Neodiprion lecontei: one gene and its partners. The main gene of each other region encodes a partner of the protein of the gene in region 2 in a complex. Links are inferred from orthologs where the notes say so. Each region holds a gene or a part of one and is shown on either strand. Other genes may lie near its edges. The genes, in order: serine-threonine kinase receptor-associated protein, probable small nuclear ribonucleoprotein E, protein crooked neck and thioredoxin-like protein 4A.

Region 1 (6,287 bases), on a different chromosome or scaffold from region 2:
TCATAGTAACACTATACACATAGATATGATATCACGTGTATGTGTATATTAATAATAAATTTTAATTATTATTTTTTTCTAAAATACACAGGTAATAGTTTCGTCTTTATTCGGTTCATCATCATGTAATACGATTTCATTCGACTGTAACATATTGTATTTTGGACGTATACGATTCGGAAGTAATGTTATTCTCGTACAGTATTCTTGATAATGAAAAAAAAAAATTCAGATCCCTAACGAACGCATAACGACGAATATAATTCAATGATTAGGATGATTTAGCTGATTCAGTTGTTTATTAGACTTTTTTATTTCACATCTTTTTATAGATCATTGAGGTGCTTAAGAAAAAAAAACGTACAGACGAACGATTATTACAACTATATTTTCGGGACCTTATAAATATGAGCATGAATATTATGTACAGAAGATTTCTTCATAAGCTTCCCCAAGCGAAAATACAGTTTGAATTATCCTTCGATACGGGAAATTTTTTTAATTTTCTTTTATTTTTCTGCTTTTGAAAAAAAAGGTGTACAATATAGTTTATATGGCATTATAACTATACTGCATGTCTCATTCAAGTGAAAAAAATTAATAAATACAAACTCGTAGTTCAAAAGCTTCTCATACAGAGTCACCGATATGACACGAATTAACGTAAGGTCACTTTTGCTTCTTAATCGCTTTTCCGCTCAGCTCTTTAGGAAAAGCCGTTCTAATAGAAACGATATCGAGATGAGTAAAATCTGAAAAGAAGCTTGATGGTTGTTCAATAAACTTTTAAGATTGCGATAACTGTAAATCTTGAGAACATATTCAAACGCAACCAAGAGCTTTGGAATATTATGAAACTTATTCCAACAAATACAAGTTTCTCAACGTTCATTTTTCATATTCTCCTATTTCACACTTTTATGCTTGATGATGACGAGCAAATTTTCAATTCCGAAGACACCAACCTTCAAATTAATTAGATATATAATTTGGTTTTCTTCTAAAATTTATTTTGAAGGATTTCGCGCGTCTGTTATCACGGAATTTGGAATTTTTATTGTTGCCAGACGTTTATCCCCGCGTCAAAATTCATCCTGGAATAATCTAACGGTCAAGACTATCATCTGAGGTATGAATTGAGATATGGCGTTTAGCTTGCCGAGACCTCTTGCTTGTTATTGAGTACAGCATTTTCTGGAATCATTGGAGTTTGTTCGATACAACGCCATAGGCCGTAGGTTTTTCCAACGGTAGTTTGCCAAAGCCTCAGCGTCCCATCCTCAGATCCGCTCGCGTATAATTCACCATCCGGAGAAAACCGAACGCAGTGAACAGGCCCAAAATGTCCCTTGAAAGATTCTGTAAACATAAAAAAATAAAAAACACCACATCGTGAGGAAAAATTTCGTCACTATAAACTATGAAGAATTTTTCTAAAAATCAGTTAAATGCACGAAGTTCAAGGGGAAATAAGGCACAGGATTGAAGCCTCTTAAGAATGGCCTTATATTATAAACGCCCAGGCATGCTGCATGCTGTGACCTCAGTTCTGTATTGTCATTCCGTTGTTGGCTGATGAGAGAATTACTAATTGCGGTTTGCTGCTGCGAGAATGAATAATGAGTGTAGGTAAACAGAAAATGTACTTATACGCTTAGGGAAGAATTTTATGAAGTAAAGTAGGAACATTGATAAATGTTAAATACCGTACCGATTTCTGCTCCAGTGCTGTAATCGAATTTGTACATTTTCAGATCTTCTCCTCCGCATACAAATATGCTGCAGTCTGGATGTAAACTTGCGCTGTTCACTTGAGTAGGAACAATAAACTCTCGGATCTTGGTCAACCTGCAATCAACAAATCGAGTCAGGTGAGTAGGATACAAACTTTTCAATGCAGCAATATTTTTTCTGCTAATTCTGGAAGAAATGGCAGATGAAAAAAAAAAAGAAAACGAGTAATGCCGATGCATTATTCTCCTTCCTCGTGTTGTAAACAAGTTGCCTGTGCCAATTGCAAGTAGTTCTCTTTACCAGGAGATGAAAATAAATGTACAAGAGCCCAACTTCCTTCTAGGCCATGGCTGTTCAAGCCAGGGACATTGCTGATCAGGAAGTAAAATGGTCTTCATTATTTGAAAGTAAAAACTGTCCACTCTGGCACGGAACCAGACCTTGTACATCCATAAATGGCTGGATATCTTTCATGGCAAATACCTCTGTTCCTGTTGCACTCGATACAGCGCAATGAAAGTTCATGTTAGGTATGTACCGTTACCTCTAATCTTTTCTGAGCCGATGAAATCTACAATATTCAACGGCTGCAAATCGGAATTTCTTGCGTTGTTGACTGCCTCAGAGATTATTTACTTTTTTTCATACGACAATCGGCGATGCAGAATTATAATTGAACTTGGAATCCAAGTCGGGCGGAGAGAGGGTTAATACTCACTCTTTGCTATCCCAAAACGTGACGACGTTAGAATGAGTTGTCGTAATGATGTTGCCATCTCTGGAGACTTCCATCGAGCTGGGTGTAGCTGGAAAATCGAGTCTTTTCACTTCTTGCCCGCTGTTTCTATCCCACAAACGCAGGCTTTTGTCATCGGCACAGGTAACCAAAGCGGTATCATTTTTGAAAAAAGTTACATGCCTTATGCCACTAGTGTGACCGGAAAATATCTGCAGGGTAATAAAATACGTAATTAGTAGTCAAGTTATACTTTCCCAATTGTCTTTGGATTTTTATATTCCAAACAAATTTATACTCACTTGCGGCGTTGCTTCCGGCTTGTTTAGATCGTAGATTTTGACTAGCTTTTCATTGGAACCAGTACACAGGTAATTTGAGTCAGAACTGAAGTTGACAGACTTAACTATATGCTTGTGCTGAAAGGAGTGAATTTCTTCACCCTTTATCGCGTCCCACACCTTGGCATTGAAGTCCGCAGCGCCTGTAGCTGCTCTGGTGGCCTGTGGGTTCAAAGCGACACCCCACACTGCCCCTTTGTGCCCCTCAAACGTGCCGATCCAATCCCCAGTGTCGCCCTGCCGCAGCATCGGCTTTCCATCTGTAAATAATTATTCATATTTTGTTACCGCTGACATATTCATATACTCATTTTTCTTCCCATTTTACAAATATTCGGCTCACTAGAATGTTTGTCAATGTGTACTACGATGATATATCCTAGATTTTAGCCATATAGTGGTAATTTCTTCTATACAAAATAGAGACGACGTTGAGAGAGGTGGGGGAGTGGGATTATTAGGCATGCATTTCTAAGGTTTAGTTCGGGGTCAGACACCGTAGATGTGAGGGATGATCCCGCATGCGACACGTCTGGCGACAATAGGTAGGTAGGAATCGGTACGCTCAGCTATGAGGCTGTAAAATTTTTCTATCGAACTTATTTCTAATTTATTGATTTTTTCTCATTGGCAACAAGAATTCGCCGACACGCTGATAAAGCTTGTAGCATAAAGCGTGCAGCGTCCATGTGCACCTTGTGCATGTGCCTCTGTACACGAGTGTAGCCTGGGCCTTGGGCATATCGTTTGAAACTAGGCCAAGGCGAACCAGAATGGAATGGACAGCCAAAGCGTGAAAGAGGGAAAAAAAAATAAAACATTGTTTGAAGAGGAGGAGAAGAGGAGGGGTAAGGAATTGAGGAAGAAGAGGAATTTTGCGAAAAAACAGGCATAAATGACAGGTAAAACCTAAGAGTGTCTAACGAAAAGGCGAAATATGACGATGAAGAAATAATTCAATTCCAGATTGACGGGAGAAATGAGTGGATTCGGAAGCGCATAAGCGCGTAATCGAGGCGTTATTTATCCTTACCTTTGCACGCCGAAATTAGGTAGTAGCCGGACTCCGTAACATCGGAAAAGGCTAGATGAACGACGGGTCTCGTATGCCCGCTACAGGTTAACGGTGTCTGCCTCAAATTCGCCATCATTTATATTTTAACGTGTTGATATGAAACGCACGCTGTCGCCGTAAAGCGCGCACTAAATATCAACGCACAATGACGAGAGTTAAGTTTACTGGAAGTTTTTTTGTATTTTTCGGCGCCGATTCCTCGTTGTGGAGACGCAACGGCCTCTCGCACACGATGCTTCGCCGTCTTGACGCTCGTAGACGTTTACTATCTTGTCTCTTATTCTTGAAGCCCGTAGTCGGTGGTAATAATCGAAACGATCTGACCGACTGACTGACGACTCGACTCGACTCGACGCGATACGCAGCCAAGTTCAGACTTCAGGGTCTTTGGCCAGGAAATCATGGCCGCCAGTCCTCCCTGCAACTGCGAAGTGCAACGACGACGCTTTCATGGACCGACCATGAAATTTCTATCCAAACTTGACGCCCCACACTGCAACTTCTATGTCTTTTATTTTTTAACCGGTAGTAAAACGCAGATCGCGACGCGCACACACAACGCGAAAGGACGCTGTCAGGGCAGCCTCTTTGTGCGACTCGGCTGTTTTCGAACGTGACATTTTTAAATAACGAATCTGCAATGATTATAATGCATCCCAAGGCGAACTTGTTCCGGTAATTTTCTGCTCCGGTTTATGGTACTCGTGTACACACGATCAGGTCTGGATTTAATGAGAAAAAGTTTACCAGATTAGAATTATGAAAGTTCGAAGTTGGTCGCTACCCCTGGAACCTAGCAACCATATATACATTAACGCGGACAGTAATACCAGTTGTCTGCCTGCAGGAGCCCCAATCCGTAAAAACAAAAAAAAATTTAGAAAATGGACTTGTATACTTTCGGATTTTTTCTTCAAACTTTACAAGCATTTTATAGGCGATTATTCAGAATCCTTAAACAATTATTTGTATTCATTTAGGAAGGTGTTACAGCACTTTGAAAATGACTAACGCAAGACTGTTTTTAAAGAATTAAATGATAGCGTTGCAGTCGTTTGTTATATCCTAGAAAAATGTATGCCTAGTTCTTCAAGGCATTCAGTACGTGTAAGAATATTTAAAAAAAAGATTTGGAATTATCTTCTAAATATCTTTGGTATTTTTTCGCTAGAATGATGAATGACGTTGCAATTGTGCAAGAAGTATTACTTATAAGGTTGATCAGGGACGGTCTTTAAACGATTGCATGCAATATCAATCTTGCAGATGATTGTAAATGATTTTTTTGCGCATTTACAACCGTCCATAGTATGAATAATACGAAAATAACGAAAAAAATTAGGATCGGAAGGTAAATGAAAGAATTCACTCGAGGGTAGATGTTCTCCTTAATTTTATTCAGTCCGATGTATCTTTAAAAATAGAATTAAAAAGTTCTATTTCATTTACTACAGAGAAAATGTACGTACATGTGCAGTTCGCATTAAAGAGATTTCACTCAAGACATGAGAATATAAGCCTATCATTTTTCCGGTTCCCCTCGCCTCTAAAATTTCAAGGGTTGAAATGCGAGTCAGCGTGAAAACGGGTTTAATTTGAATGGCCGGAAAATTACGGTGACATTGATATCCCGCGGGCCAGTGAAGAATGTTCTTCATTTCGAAGGACTGTACGGGGAAACTTTATTTGCAAGAAATTAGACGAGAAATGAACTAGGTTTCGGGGTTATTTGGGATATAAATTAAGCGAATATACCGTACACTGCATACGCCGGAGAATCCAAAGAATTCATACGCGTCATTCTACATCTGCTATAATGACCTGTCGAATCGTTCTATGGATTCTTATCACCGCCAGTAAAAATGATTTACACGCAATAGTCATTTTTTATGACTATTCATTTTTACGGGAGAAAAAATATTCCAAAAGTCTGCCTAATCGTCGAAGTAAAACACGAAGTAGAATAATAACGAAATCTAATTAGCGCCGCGAAACGTGGCATCCGATCGCGAATCAGGCATCGATGCGTAACTGAAAGCAAGCTATTTTAATTAAATCTCAATGTTCTAGATAAAGAGGATATATATTTGTATCAGCAGATTGCAGAAATATATGCAGAGGGGGGTGGCTGACTTCACGCCGATAGAAACTCTTTGCGAGGTTCTTCATATTAATTAAAACACACCGATACACGTGCAAATTTTATACATGAGTTTCGCGCTCGCTGATAACTTGGGTGAATCTGAGACCCAGCGTTAATTAACGGTCATAAAAAATATACTTCATGTATCGTAAATTGAAAAATCGTAATTCGTAAATCGATGAAAAATTATTCCCTCGCACACCTATTTTATTACAGAAATTATTTCGTTCCGATGCTACGGAGCGTTTTACTTTTTCA
Region 2 (3,085 bases):
TTTGGCCCACTTCTCGCAACTCCATAGATACATGTTAATTAAGTGAACAAAAATGCTGTCTTTGCTCACTTTTGTTTGAAACCTAGGATTTCGAAGTTCGATATGAATATTTTTCTGTCAGTCAGCAATTATTTACAATTTGTTAGAATGCTTTCGTCTCCTGAATCCTCTATTTTTTGCTGACACATGAGTATCTAGAAAAGGACCTACACAAAGTTCTGATTGACTATCTTTGATAGAAAACTCATTTGGCTGCCAATATGGAAATTTCGTACGTAACATTTCAAGATTTCAAGCAACTTAGGTAACTTTAAACTGTGCAAATAAGCTCGATCGATTGCGACTTAGAGTACATAGCAAAGTGCGGGTAAGCATGGAACAAGACATAGAATTCGAATATCCTCTTTAACTAAGAGGCGACTCGAGTCGACGGAGTTGGATTTTTGTACAGTGTTGTTAAATCCTTAAACAATAATCGATCAGTGATTCAGGTAAAAGAATAGGTAGATAAAAAACAGGTATAAAATAAGTCTAGGAATAAACACACGCAACGTGAAATTTGTACTGTTTTTATTGAACACAACGAGTCGAGGCGATGAGAATTTGATCACAGCGAGAAAGAGAGATATTATATACTTGATTTGAAACTTTTGCAAATATGCATATTACAATTTGATTATTTCGATGAGTACATAGTAAGTTAATATGCTAGATGAGTCGACTCGTTCTGAATCGGAATGAAATAATACAAATTCAATTAAACACTGTGCCCTAATCCTAAGCTTTAAAACTATTTAAATTACAAGTGGTCGCGTTCTTTGTTCGTCGACGGTTTCGACCCTGAGCAAATTTCGCTCTTCGCCGCTCTTCTTTCCCGTCGTTCTTGTCTCCGAACTTCCAACGATGCGCGCCGCGCGCGCCGGTTTCTAATTTTTTAGGTTAGGATAGGTTATGTTGCCGCTCTCTCTTCCCGTTCTAGTTCGCACCGGGGTTCGTATTCTGAATAAGGGTGATGTTGTCCCCCTTCAGCATTATCCTACCCAGCTGTTTTCTGTTCTTCGTTTTGACGTGATACTCCTCGGCATCGTCAAGGACGAGATTCATGTACTCGTCAAAACCGACAATGTGACCCTCGATCCTCAGGTTGATGTTTTCAAAGAGCCAGACTTGTACTCGGGAGCGATTCTGCAGATATCGAAATATCAGGTTTATCGGCTGCACCATAACCTTCTGCACCTTTGGCGGTCCTTTGTACGACATTTTTGCGAGTCTTTGAGATTGCCCGTCACTTTTTTAAGCGTAAGCTTCAGTTTTAAACAAATTCGGCCGATACGTTGATACCGCGTAAACCACGACGCGTTGTATGCTGGGATCTGAATAACGAATATGGCCGCCGCGATGAGCCTGGCGGCACTTTTTCAATTTAAGCTATTTAATCCCGTCGGCAAGTGACGCCGCACCGTTTGGTGGAAGCATGTCGAACTAGCGCAGCAACACTACGGTTGATATAAAGGATCGTTGCATCGTCGCCGAGTTTGGAATGTTATCTTACGTCGATTTTCTGACACAACTCGACGTCAAGGGATTTCATTGGTCGAATCTAACGGAATACGCCAATAAAATGAATTGGTGTTGTGTTGTGTCAGAAAATTGACGTAAAAGGAAAGCGGCCATATGCTTTTATATTTTATGACCGCGACGCGCTAAAATTTGAATAGATTTCACGAAATTTTTTATTAATAAAAATTTCTTCATTCAAGCGATCTATTAATGGAAATTTATTGATATCAACTGACAAATAACAATTTATACTTAATAAAAAATACATGGTTGCATGTAAAACGTTTCAATGAGTCGTTTTTGAATGGTTGTAACCGATTACGTTACTTTTATATGGTGAAAATGAGCAAGAAATGAGCATTTTGTAAAAATATAATAATTTTCTTAATTTCATTGTAGATTTGTGTATTTCTTTTTGATAGCTAGCCAAAAATTGTGATTGTACATGAATTTCGTGAAAAAAATGTTAATTAGATATCCATATTATGCTGCAAATTTATGGGAAATCTGAAAATTCAATGTCCACATGACTAAGCAAATTTTCGAAATACGTATTGTTAATATTTGGCAAATGACGTAAGTTTAATTTCATGGATTCTTAGTCCAAAAAGTAAATACTTTTTCGTGCAAGTAAATATTTGTCAAAATTGTAAAACTGCGATTCGTGAAAATTATTTATTGAACAGAGAAATGTGTTCCAGTTTTCAGATTTCTTCGCACAAATTTTTTGCAACACAATTATTTTGACTCTGTCGTAAAATAACGGTTAAATGTGAAGCTGATCATTTTTGCAACGACTTAAAAACAGTTAAACGAAATGTCAAAATAAATCACGTTACTGAAAATATGAAGAAAAGTAACTTTTTTCTACATAAAAAATGTTCAATTTCTCAATGACATCGCTTTGCCATTCGTTATCCACAACGATTTGAACAACGTGGCGAATACAATAAATCACAACGCGTATTCCATCCACAGTGTAATACGCGACCTTTCTGCTGAACATTCAACTTTGATTCACGCTGGTGGAATCAGAGGCAACTCCACGAATACTGCGCAACAATACCTACTGCTAAACGTAGCATTACGTGACCTGTGACACTCGGAAAACAAAGACCTTTTAACCTCCGGACATGTATTATATATATTTACTCATACAAGAATGCCTTATATACCTACAACTACGGCATGCGCATATCGCCTGAAATTATACAGAAGAGCTTTACGAATTTCTGGCACGTAAAGGATTAAGGTTTAACGGTAGTGACATGGAACGACATTTCACTCACGCCTAACGATGCCGGATGAAATCTCTCCCCCTTGCTCTATCCTTCTCTTTCCTTCGCGTCCAACCGTATCGGCGAAGCCGTAATACATGTACACGTATATATAATATATAGTGCAGATACCACTTCTTGCCCATACATCGAGATTAAAATAATGAAGATTGATGGGGACTCAAGAATGTCACCTTTTTAGCCGTCGCCCTCGATCTTCCCTTCTTTCTCTCACTCACTCACTCACT
Region 3 (5,841 bases), on a different chromosome or scaffold from region 2:
GCGTACAACTAATTTTCGAGATATTCTGAACAGTAAATGGGGGTCGGTTACCGATTGGCAGTCTACCGTGCCATGCCATAAAACCAGTTGATGATACAAAGAGTATATTTACCATAGCGAAGTGCCCCTGTAGTGATAAAAATTGAGCAAATCACAATTACTGCAGCATTAATTTCTTATTAGCAAACTTTGTACACTTTGAATTGACGGTAAAATATTGTCAATATTATCATAATTTGAGGTCGTTTCAGTACGCAGCATTCTAGTCTGACTTCACGACCAAGATTGACTACAAGTTTTTTGTATCGTTTCATTGTGAGTTAATTTCGGTACTCCACGTTTTTACTTAGAGTTTTTATATTTAAAATGTTTTTAGTCCGGATATGTATTTACCGGGATTTACTCTGATTAAACTAAGAAAATCCAAGTTCATCACGATTCCATACGCGCTATAGAATATTAAAATATCAGTTTTGTACTCACAATTAGGAGATGAGATCGGATTTTAGCAGGATCTGTGACCGGTGCCATCTCTGTATAAACAATCGACGATCGACAAACAATCCAGGTGACGCCACAAAAACTTCACGGTCGAATTTTCGCGTGCACTCCTACCGAAAGTATTCATAATTACCAGAGTGAAAGACGTATTGTGCAAAACGTTTGTCATTGTTTTACTTTTCTTAATTCCATACGCGTTATAGAATATTAAAGCATCAGTTTTGTACTCACAATTAGGAGATGCAATCAGATTCTAGCGGGATCTGTGACCGGTGGCATCTCTGGATAAACAATCGACGATCGACAAACAATTCAGGTGACGTCACAAAAACTTAACGGTCGAATTTTCGCGAACACTCCTATCGAAAGTATTCGTCGTTACCAGTGAAAAACGTATTGTGCAAAAAAATTGCCATTGTTTTACTTTGTATTTGTGACTCGTTACGTGGTGAGATTCCTACGGTGTATAATCGAGCAACTGACACCGCGAAGGCTCTGCAGCTATTGAAATCTTCCGTTTGGAGTTTGGCTCGTTGTGGCGTGAACTCGGGTAAGATTCGAAATTACTTATTTTACTCATTCCCCGATGTTTTTGTACCCAGTTTTTGCAGTCAAAATGTTCGACACGATCGAGCGCAGTGTTATTTCAAACTGAAATTTGACCGAATTTCGAATCTTTGTAAGAATTATTCTATCATCTAACAATAAGATTTGTTTCTGGACACGTTTCGTTACCCACGGTCTTTAGCGAGAGCGGTATAATCAATTGTCAGCCGTGTTCTGCGAAACTGTTACATGTGCCGTCTCATATATTTTTCAATCTGATTTTTATAAACGTATTACAATTTCACAATGGACGATATTGGCAGAGCCATTTCGAAAAAATTGAACATACATGATGCAGCGTAATTATACACATATCTCTAGTCTTTACTCTTCAGGTGTTAATTAATTAATATTTCGGGGTTTGATTTTTCATCGGGAAGCTTTATTTTTCCTGGGCTACAGAACAATAGTGATGCAATTACAATTTTGAAAATAAATCAGCACGAGCATTCAGTTCTCCTTGAGTGTGAATTAGGTACGTTAATGTGTTGACTCTTCTTGAAAAGTTATGTTTGAAATTTTTAAGCGATCAAGTGCGTGAATTTTACGCTTAGTGATCTGAGCAGAAACTGCGTACTTTCGATACGTTCTATGATGGACGCGCTCTCACATTTTTACATCGTTCGTGACCGTGTCAACGTTTGTCGGAGCAAGTGTGTGTACTCGAAAAGAATTTGCCAAACAATAATGAAATAATAACACGTTTATGCCATAACTATTGAATTGATATCGTGAAACTAATACGTTCATCATGGAAAAGCCACAGAAAATGCCAAAAGTGGCAAAGGTAAGTTTCCCTATTATTATTTTTCGACTTTAGGTTAGGAAAGAGGTTAGTGTTTACTGCATCTAGAAAATTTTCTGATGCATTTTTCTATCACAAGCGTATAATTGTCAATGTATTAAACCGTGTATTTTGTACATCACCGATGCATCCAGGTAAAAAATAAAGCACCTGCAGAGATTCAAATCACCGCTGAACAGCTGCTCCGGGAGGCCAAGGAAAGAGACTTGGAAATATTACCACCGGTAAGTTGAGTTAAATTACCCTTGATTAAAAAAAGTTGATCAAATAAATTAATAATTTACTTTTTCATGTTCATAAAGCCACCAAAACAAAAAATCTCCGATCCACATGAGTTGGCCGATTACCAGCATCGCAAACGGAAAGCATTCGAGGACAATATACGAAAGAATCGTACGGTAATATCCAACTGGATAAAATACGCACAATGGGAAGAAAGTCAGAAGCAGATACAGAGAGCACGGTAAGCTATAACACATTAGTCGTTTAAAACATTCATGTGATATATGGTGAAATGCTAATGGTTACAAAAATTATTTTTAAACCTGTATGTTTACATTTCAGATCAATATACGAGCGTGCACTGGACGTAGATCATCGAAATATAACACTATGGTTAAAGTATACAGAAATGGAAATGCGGAATCGGCAGGTAAACCATGCCAGGAATTTATGGGACCGCGCTGTGACGATTCTGCCAAGAGCAAATCAATTCTGGTACAAATATACATACATGGAAGAAATGCTGGAAAATATTGCAGGTAATGTCTTGAAGCTTATAATCAGCATACGCAGAGAAATAACTAGATTAAATTTGATAAAGAAATGTATCACTGTGCATTTGGGTAACCAGATTGGATTTTATTTCATCCTTAGGAGCCCGCCAAGTGTTCGAACGTTGGATGGAATGGGAACCTGATGAACAGGCCTGGCAAACTTATATAAAATTTGAGTTACGATACAAAGAAATAGACCGAGCACGTTATATTTATGAACGTTTTGTTATGGTACATCCCGATGTAAAGCATTGGATAAAATATGCTAGGTTTGAAGAGACTCATGGCTTCTTAAACGGTGCTCGTAATGTATTCGAACGTGCAGTCACTTTCTATGGCGACGAAAGTTTAGATGAAAAACTGTTCGTTGCTTTTGCTAGGTTTGAGGAAGGTCAGAGAGAGGTAAGATTTGAGTTATCTGAATTTGACTTGGCGATATGTCAAGAGTGGTCTGTAGAAATAATCAGAAAAATTCACATCAAACGATGTAAATTCAAATTTTTGCAACTTTCAGCATGATCGTGCGCGAGTCATATATAAGTATGCTTTGGACCACATTCCAAAAGATCGAACTCAAGAAGTATACAAAGCTTACACGATACATGAAAAGAAATATGGTGATCGATCAGGTAATATTTTATTTTTTTTTTTTTATAATTTTCCATATGCTTTTAGAGAACTCAGTCAATTGAGGAATTTTACATGAAAAATAATTACGGTAGATTTTTAACTATTAATGAATGTACAGGTATTGAAGATGTCATTGTGAGTAAAAGAAAGCATCAGTATGAACAGGAGGTCAAAGAGAATCCATCTAATTATGACGCGTGGTTTGATTATTTACGATTAGTTGAGTCTGAAACTGATATAGACCTTGTCAGGGAAACTTATGAACGTGCAATAGCTAATGTACCGCCCACAAAGGTGAATTCAACATTGAACATGAAACATTATTTTTAACACTCAAGTACTTGGTTTAGACTACAACTTTTTATTAATATGCACAGGAAAAACAATATTGGCGAAGATATATTTACTTGTGGATAAATTACGCATTGTTTGAAGAACTCGAAACTGAGGATATAGAAAGATGTCGTCAAGTATACAGAGCCTGTCTTGAATTAATCCCACACAAGCAGTTCACATTCTCAAAAATATGGCTGCTTTATGCCCACTTTGAAATCAGACAAAAAAATTTACAAGTAGCAAGAAAAATGCTAGTAAGTGAAAAATTTTATTACGAGTATTTTATTATGAATCTAATCGGAGTTTATTTTTCTTATAGTTATCTTTCTTCAACAGGGTATGGCTCTGGGTATGTCTCCAAGAGATAAACTATTTCGAGGCTACATAGATTTGGAAATTCAACTTCGAGAGTTCGATAGATGCAGAATATTATACCAGAAGTTTCTTGAATTTGGCCCAGAGAATTGCACTACTTGGATGAAGGTTTGTATTCCTATTTCTCCTTTAGCACGACGTTCAGCAAAACAAGTGCTTGATTAATTAATTTGAAGTATTTGTTTCAGTTTGCAGAACTTGAGACTCTTCTGGGTGATGTTGATCGAGCCCGGGCAATTTATGAATTAGCAGTCACTCAACCGAGGTATGTCATGTAATTACAGTATTGTCACATAGCAATCCACAATATATATCTATTTATTTTTCATGCGATCACATAGTGTTTCATATTTTGACAAATGCTATAATCCGCTAATTGTTCTCCAAAATAGATTGGACATGCCAGAACTATTATGGAAATCATACATAGATTTCGAAATATCTCAAGAAGAAACAGAAAATGCAAGACAACTATTTGAGAGACTTTTGGAACGTACAATGCACGTTAAAGTAAGTTCTTATTTATATGAATGTATTTTATTAAACAATGATAAGCAGCAACGAGAATTTAAATTTCCTGGTACTTGGTTAAATGCTTGACAATCTTTGTTTTGACAGGTATGGATAGCGTATGCCAAGTTTGAATTGGGAAATTATGTGACAGACGATGGTCCGGATAACATAGCATTGGCACGACGTGTCTTTGAGCGAGGTAATGATGCACTGCGGACAAATGGAGATAAAGAAAGTCGTGCATTGCTTTTGGAAGCATGGCGAGACTTTGAAACTGAAAAAGGTGACGAAGATAGTCAGGCGAAAATTATGGATAAAATGCCACGGAGAATCAAAAGACGCAGACGAATCGTTGGAGATGATGGAGTAAGCGCGTTACTTATTTTTCGAGAAAGAATAATGGTTCTCATTAGATGCAAACAGTTGAATATAATCCTTATTTAGTAATAAGCTGAACTTTATACTACACAATAATTGTTTTTTACAGGCAGAAGAAGGTTGGGAGGAGGTATTTGATTTTGTTTTTCCAGAAGACGAGTCTCAGAGGCCTAATCTCAAACTATTGGCTTCTGCAAAAGCATGGAAAAAACAAAAAGAAGCTACCCAAGATACGGTTTCAAATGGTACCACAGTATTGTCAGAAACCACGCCGAGTTAACCCAATCAAATCGTTTACGATTTTTTATCTCATTGTAAATTTTTCAACTGATTGTGAATCTTGCAATAAAATGTATTTCGAAAGTAACAATTTTTGGTATGTTCAAGTGTGTAATTCACCATAGAAAATTCCCGTATCAAATTGTTTTTACGTTTCAGAAAACGTTACTGAAACCTCAAAATTTGCATTCAAATTTTCTATGCCCCTGTACGTTTCAATGTGATTTCCTGTCTGCCACCCGAATCTATACATATTATGAGCAAGGGATCGTATTTTTCGTGTACAGTTTTAGTGAAGATAGTCATAGACAATATTCAAATCCATAAGTTTTCATTCTTAAAAATCATTTAAATTACATTTATTCGTACGTATTATCAAAATTTATCAGTACATGACGAAATACTATAATACAATAATAGTGTTCCCTACTTCTCGTATCTGAAACAGAGAAATGCTGAGCACGACTCAAAGATTCATGAATTTCATATACAACATACCAATATGGTATTTGACACATATAAAAAAACATTCGCACTCGTACCTTTCGCTTAATTTCCAACATAAATTAATTGGTTATTCGAACAATCAATGTATATAAATTGTTTGAGGTCATGTAAATAGTGGTTCAAACAAGTTTCAGA
Region 4 (3,276 bases), on a different chromosome or scaffold from region 2:
CTGTTTTCCACAAATCACCTGCATACTCAAGCTTATGCGATATATCATTCACTCGCACGCGGGTAAAAAGTAGCAGAAAATCAGATTCAATAGATTGGCACATTGTGTATACATTGAAATACAATTCGCTTCTTTTTCAGATACGCGACATAAAAATATCACCAGTAAACATTGGCCGAAAGGATATATTTCTCATTTGTCCTATTTTTTGTTACGCTTTGAGGGATAAATATTCACCGGTACTTTAATCATTGTTACAAACTTTGGACACAAAGCTTAAAAAGTTGAGTGATGCTATTCCTAATGTCAAATCACAGTGAGCCTGAAAAGTTGTAAAAGTGAAATGTTAAAGTAGTTATTACTTACATTAGGAGTAACTTCTCGCAGCCATTCATCAGCTTGTTCATCAAAATCGATTTTGCAAGCTAGACGAAGGTCGTTGGCAGCCTCCTCCCATTTTCCAAGTAATCTGTAAGCACGTCCCCTGAACTTGTGCGCGGCAGCACTATCTGGATTTATTTCAAGAGCACGATCACAATCGCGGATACAAGCATTGGGTTTGTTGAGCATCAAGTACAGTTGCCCGCGCTTTGCATACAGCAAAGAAGCTTGAGGGTTCAGTACAATAGCCTCTGTGTACAAAGACAGCGCCTTTTCATAGTTATTTTCGACAAAAGCGGACACTGCTTCGGAACGCTTTGCCTGAGACTCGGCCACTTCTTCCTCAGTTGGCTGAAGAGTAGGATTACCCATTTTCTGTGGGGCGTCTGTATCCGGTTCTAAAAATTAGATTTATTCGTTTGAAAATAACAAAACGGCTTCACAAGCTCAATAAATTAGAAAAAGAAATGACCAAATCTCACCGATGACACCAGTCGTATCAAGTTCGATATCACTTTCATCAGATTCCGGAGCTGGCTCAGGCTCAGGAATATTCGACTGGGCGGGTTGAGGTTTAAATTTCGGATACCCCGAGGTGTTGCTGCTTTTGGTATCTGGGACACTACCTCCGAAATGTTCGATGAAAGTTTTGACAAACGCGAGGTCCGGGAGGTGCAGGATCGAAGGGTTTTCAATGCACAAATCGGTGAACACTTTCAATTGAGCTAGATGCTCTTTACTGACAGGAGCAGCCATTTCGATATCTTTCTGGATAAGAAAATTTGTGAGTTAGAATCTGTAAGCTAACAATGTTGATGAGATTTTTCAACGATTTATATTGTCGTTTAACAGATCATTCATAATTGACATGTTTACCGAATAGTGTGTACAGCGAATCTAGAAAATTCCAATTGAAAAACCTTGACACATACGTATGCACGAATATTTGGTACCTATAAAAATCATTGTCCGAATGAACTAGGTGTCAAAATTACAAATGATCATCAATTTAGCACAGAGAAATGAATATTCAGAATAATCAAATATCGTCATAATATCACCAGGTCAACCGGTCTAACCGGCGTTGATAACAAACAGTCGTGACTCGTAAAAAATGCGGTCGTAACAAGATTCGTAAGCCCGTATAAAAATTACAGCGTGAATGTAGACTATTGAATCTCAAAAATACATTAATATTTTACAATTACGTGATTAAGCGTCGTTTATTACCTTGTTCACGGTGCGATGCGCAGTACTTATTTTACTTCAATCACAACAAAATGTGCGAAAAAAAAACGTCAGCAACTCACCTTCTTGAAGGCAGTGGAAGGTTGGTGGCTATCGAATGCTACACCGGCACATTTGAGAACGCAAACGCAGTTATCGTTGCAAGTTAACGCCGCTAGGGTCGCTAGTGCCTTGATGTGCTATATGTGTGCCACTGTAATTTGACGTTTCTGTACGTGTAAATATTTATTTTTCCCAGTTGTACGCAAATTGGGATTTAATTAATTACAAGAATAAATCAAACACCTTATAAAAATGTCGTATATGCTGGGTCACCTTCACAATGGATGGCAAGTGGATCAGGCAATTTTATCAGAAGAGGACCGAGTGGTCGTAAGTTCACGTCATCATAACCTAAAAATTCAGTCGTACAAAATCGTATGTTAATTACACATAACTAAGTTTAGTTGCTCACTTTTTTTTTTACATTTAATACGAACCGTCCTACTTCGATTTCTTTCAGGTGATCAGATTTGGCCACGATTGGGATCCAATGTGTATGAAAATGGATGAAGTCCTCTACAATATTGCAGAAAAAGTAAAAAACTTTGCAGTCATTTATCTAGTCGATATAACAGAGGTCCCAGACTTTAATAAAATGTAAGTATAACACTCTGCTGCTATAATATTTTCTTCAGTACTTCGCAAAGCTTCAGAATAATAACCACAGAATTTTTCTGAACTGTAGGTATGAGTTGTACGATCCATGCACGGTCATGTTCTTCTTCAGAAACAAGCATATAATGATTGATTTAGGCACTGGAAACAATAATAAAATCAATTGGACTTTAGAAGACAAACAGGAAATGATCGATATCATCGAAACGGTTTATCGGGGCGCTAGAAAAGGCAGAGGTTTGGTTGTTTCGCCAAAAGATTATTCAACAAAGTATCGCTATTAATTACATTATGCAGCAAAAAGATTTGAATATATGTTTCGAATATATGATGTTGTTTTACATTAAAACATAAATTAATCATCATTAGTTGTATACAGCTTAGGTATTATTTAACAGTTACAGAATGATGATGAATTTGTACCGTCACATGTAAATAAACTGAAATTTTTCATTTAAATTTATTTCTGGATCTGTCTTTATACCGCTTTTATGCCGTTTTTATACCAATTTAACGAAACTTAGCCGATACCTGGTAAAAATAGTTTAGCTCTATTCAAATCTTTTGTAATTATTTAATAAAAATATTAAACATCAGTTCCAAATATAGATTATCTTAACGTTAAACTATGTACAATATATTGATGCAATACATTTTCCACATCTTATCTACAAAGGCCACTGTTATTTCCATCATCTTATTCAGTACGTCCAATAACGGAGTATAAAATTGTTAAAATTTTCATCTTTGGTACATTATTCGTGTATTATCACACTTGAATGATGGCACATCCTCAGTTGTAAGGACATAACAAAAACTAACCAAGATTACCAATAAATAATAAAAATAACCATCGAAGCAATAAAACGCGACATAGCAACTTATGTTCCAATGTCCAGTTAGTTGTTTCAATTATGAGTATAAGTATAGTTAGAAACAAGATGGCAGTAAGAATTTCTTCATGAATTCAAATAATAAATACTCTCGAAT

What was found.
Region 1: probable small nuclear ribonucleoprotein E (region 2) and serine-threonine kinase receptor-associated protein share a complex: the UniProt entries of both Homo sapiens proteins name them as parts of the SMN-Sm complex. The link is inferred for Neodiprion lecontei from reciprocal best matches to the Homo sapiens genes SNRPE and STRAP.
Region 3: probable small nuclear ribonucleoprotein E (region 2) and protein crooked neck share a complex: the UniProt entries of both Homo sapiens proteins name them as parts of the minor spliceosome. The link is inferred for Neodiprion lecontei from reciprocal best matches to the Homo sapiens genes SNRPE and CRNKL1.
Region 4: probable small nuclear ribonucleoprotein E (region 2) and thioredoxin-like protein 4A share a complex: the UniProt entries of both Homo sapiens proteins name them as parts of the U4/U6-U5 tri-snRNP complex. The link is inferred for Neodiprion lecontei from reciprocal best matches to the Homo sapiens genes SNRPE and TXNL4A.

Annotation. Positions count from the first base shown.
Region 1 is NC_060261.1:3,933,981-3,940,267, forward strand, and holds serine-threonine kinase receptor-associated protein, read right to left. Parts: upstream 4,452-6,287; 5' UTR 3,963-4,451; coding exon 3,845-3,962; exon of another isoform or gene 3,778-3,844; intron 3,714-3,777; exon of another isoform or gene 3,450-3,713; intron 3,357-3,449; exon of another isoform or gene 3,309-3,356; intron 3,072-3,308; coding exon 2,773-3,071; intron 2,683-2,772; coding exon 2,453-2,682; exon of another isoform or gene 2,400-2,452; intron 2,265-2,399; exon of another isoform or gene 2,078-2,264; intron 1,872-2,077; exon of another isoform or gene 1,849-1,871; coding exon 1,712-1,848; intron 1,360-1,711; coding exon 1,151-1,359; 3' UTR 519-1,150; downstream 1-518. UniProt on the Homo sapiens protein: The SMN complex catalyzes the assembly of small nuclear ribonucleoproteins (snRNPs), the building blocks of the spliceosome, and thereby plays an important role in the splicing of cellular pre-mRNAs.
Region 2 is NC_060262.1:5,978,294-5,981,378, forward strand, and holds probable small nuclear ribonucleoprotein E, read right to left. Parts: upstream 1,392-3,085; 5' UTR 1,261-1,391; coding exon 976-1,260; 3' UTR 554-975; downstream 1-553. UniProt on the Homo sapiens protein: Plays a role in pre-mRNA splicing as a core component of the spliceosomal U1, U2, U4 and U5 small nuclear ribonucleoproteins (snRNPs), the building blocks of the spliceosome.
Region 3 is NC_060265.1:25,631,284-25,637,124, reverse strand, and holds protein crooked neck, read left to right. Parts: upstream 1-1,680; 5' UTR 1,681-1,858; coding exon 1,859-1,894; intron 1,895-2,046; coding exon 2,047-2,136; intron 2,137-2,214; coding exon 2,215-2,375; intron 2,376-2,476; coding exon 2,477-2,673; intron 2,674-2,788; coding exon 2,789-3,090; intron 3,091-3,202; coding exon 3,203-3,317; intron 3,318-3,436; coding exon 3,437-3,612; intron 3,613-3,695; coding exon 3,696-3,908; intron 3,909-3,990; coding exon 3,991-4,137; intron 4,138-4,217; coding exon 4,218-4,294; intron 4,295-4,421; coding exon 4,422-4,539; intron 4,540-4,647; coding exon 4,648-4,908; intron 4,909-5,029; coding exon 5,030-5,200; 3' UTR 5,201-5,287; downstream 5,288-5,841. Other genes in the region: uncharacterized protein LOC124294976, read right to left, coding at 484-531. UniProt on the Homo sapiens protein: Involved in pre-mRNA splicing process. As a component of the minor spliceosome, involved in the splicing of U12-type introns in pre-mRNAs.
Region 4 is NC_060265.1:6,865,013-6,868,288, reverse strand, and holds thioredoxin-like protein 4A, read left to right. Parts: upstream 1-1,923; coding exon 1,924-2,046; intron 2,047-2,131; coding exon 2,132-2,268; intron 2,269-2,356; coding exon 2,357-2,570; 3' UTR 2,571-2,749; downstream 2,750-3,276. Other genes in the region: hsc70-interacting protein, read right to left, coding at 367-779, 864-1,137. UniProt on the Homo sapiens protein: Plays a role in pre-mRNA splicing as component of the U5 snRNP and U4/U6-U5 tri-snRNP complexes that are involved in spliceosome assembly, and as component of the precatalytic spliceosome (spliceosome B complex).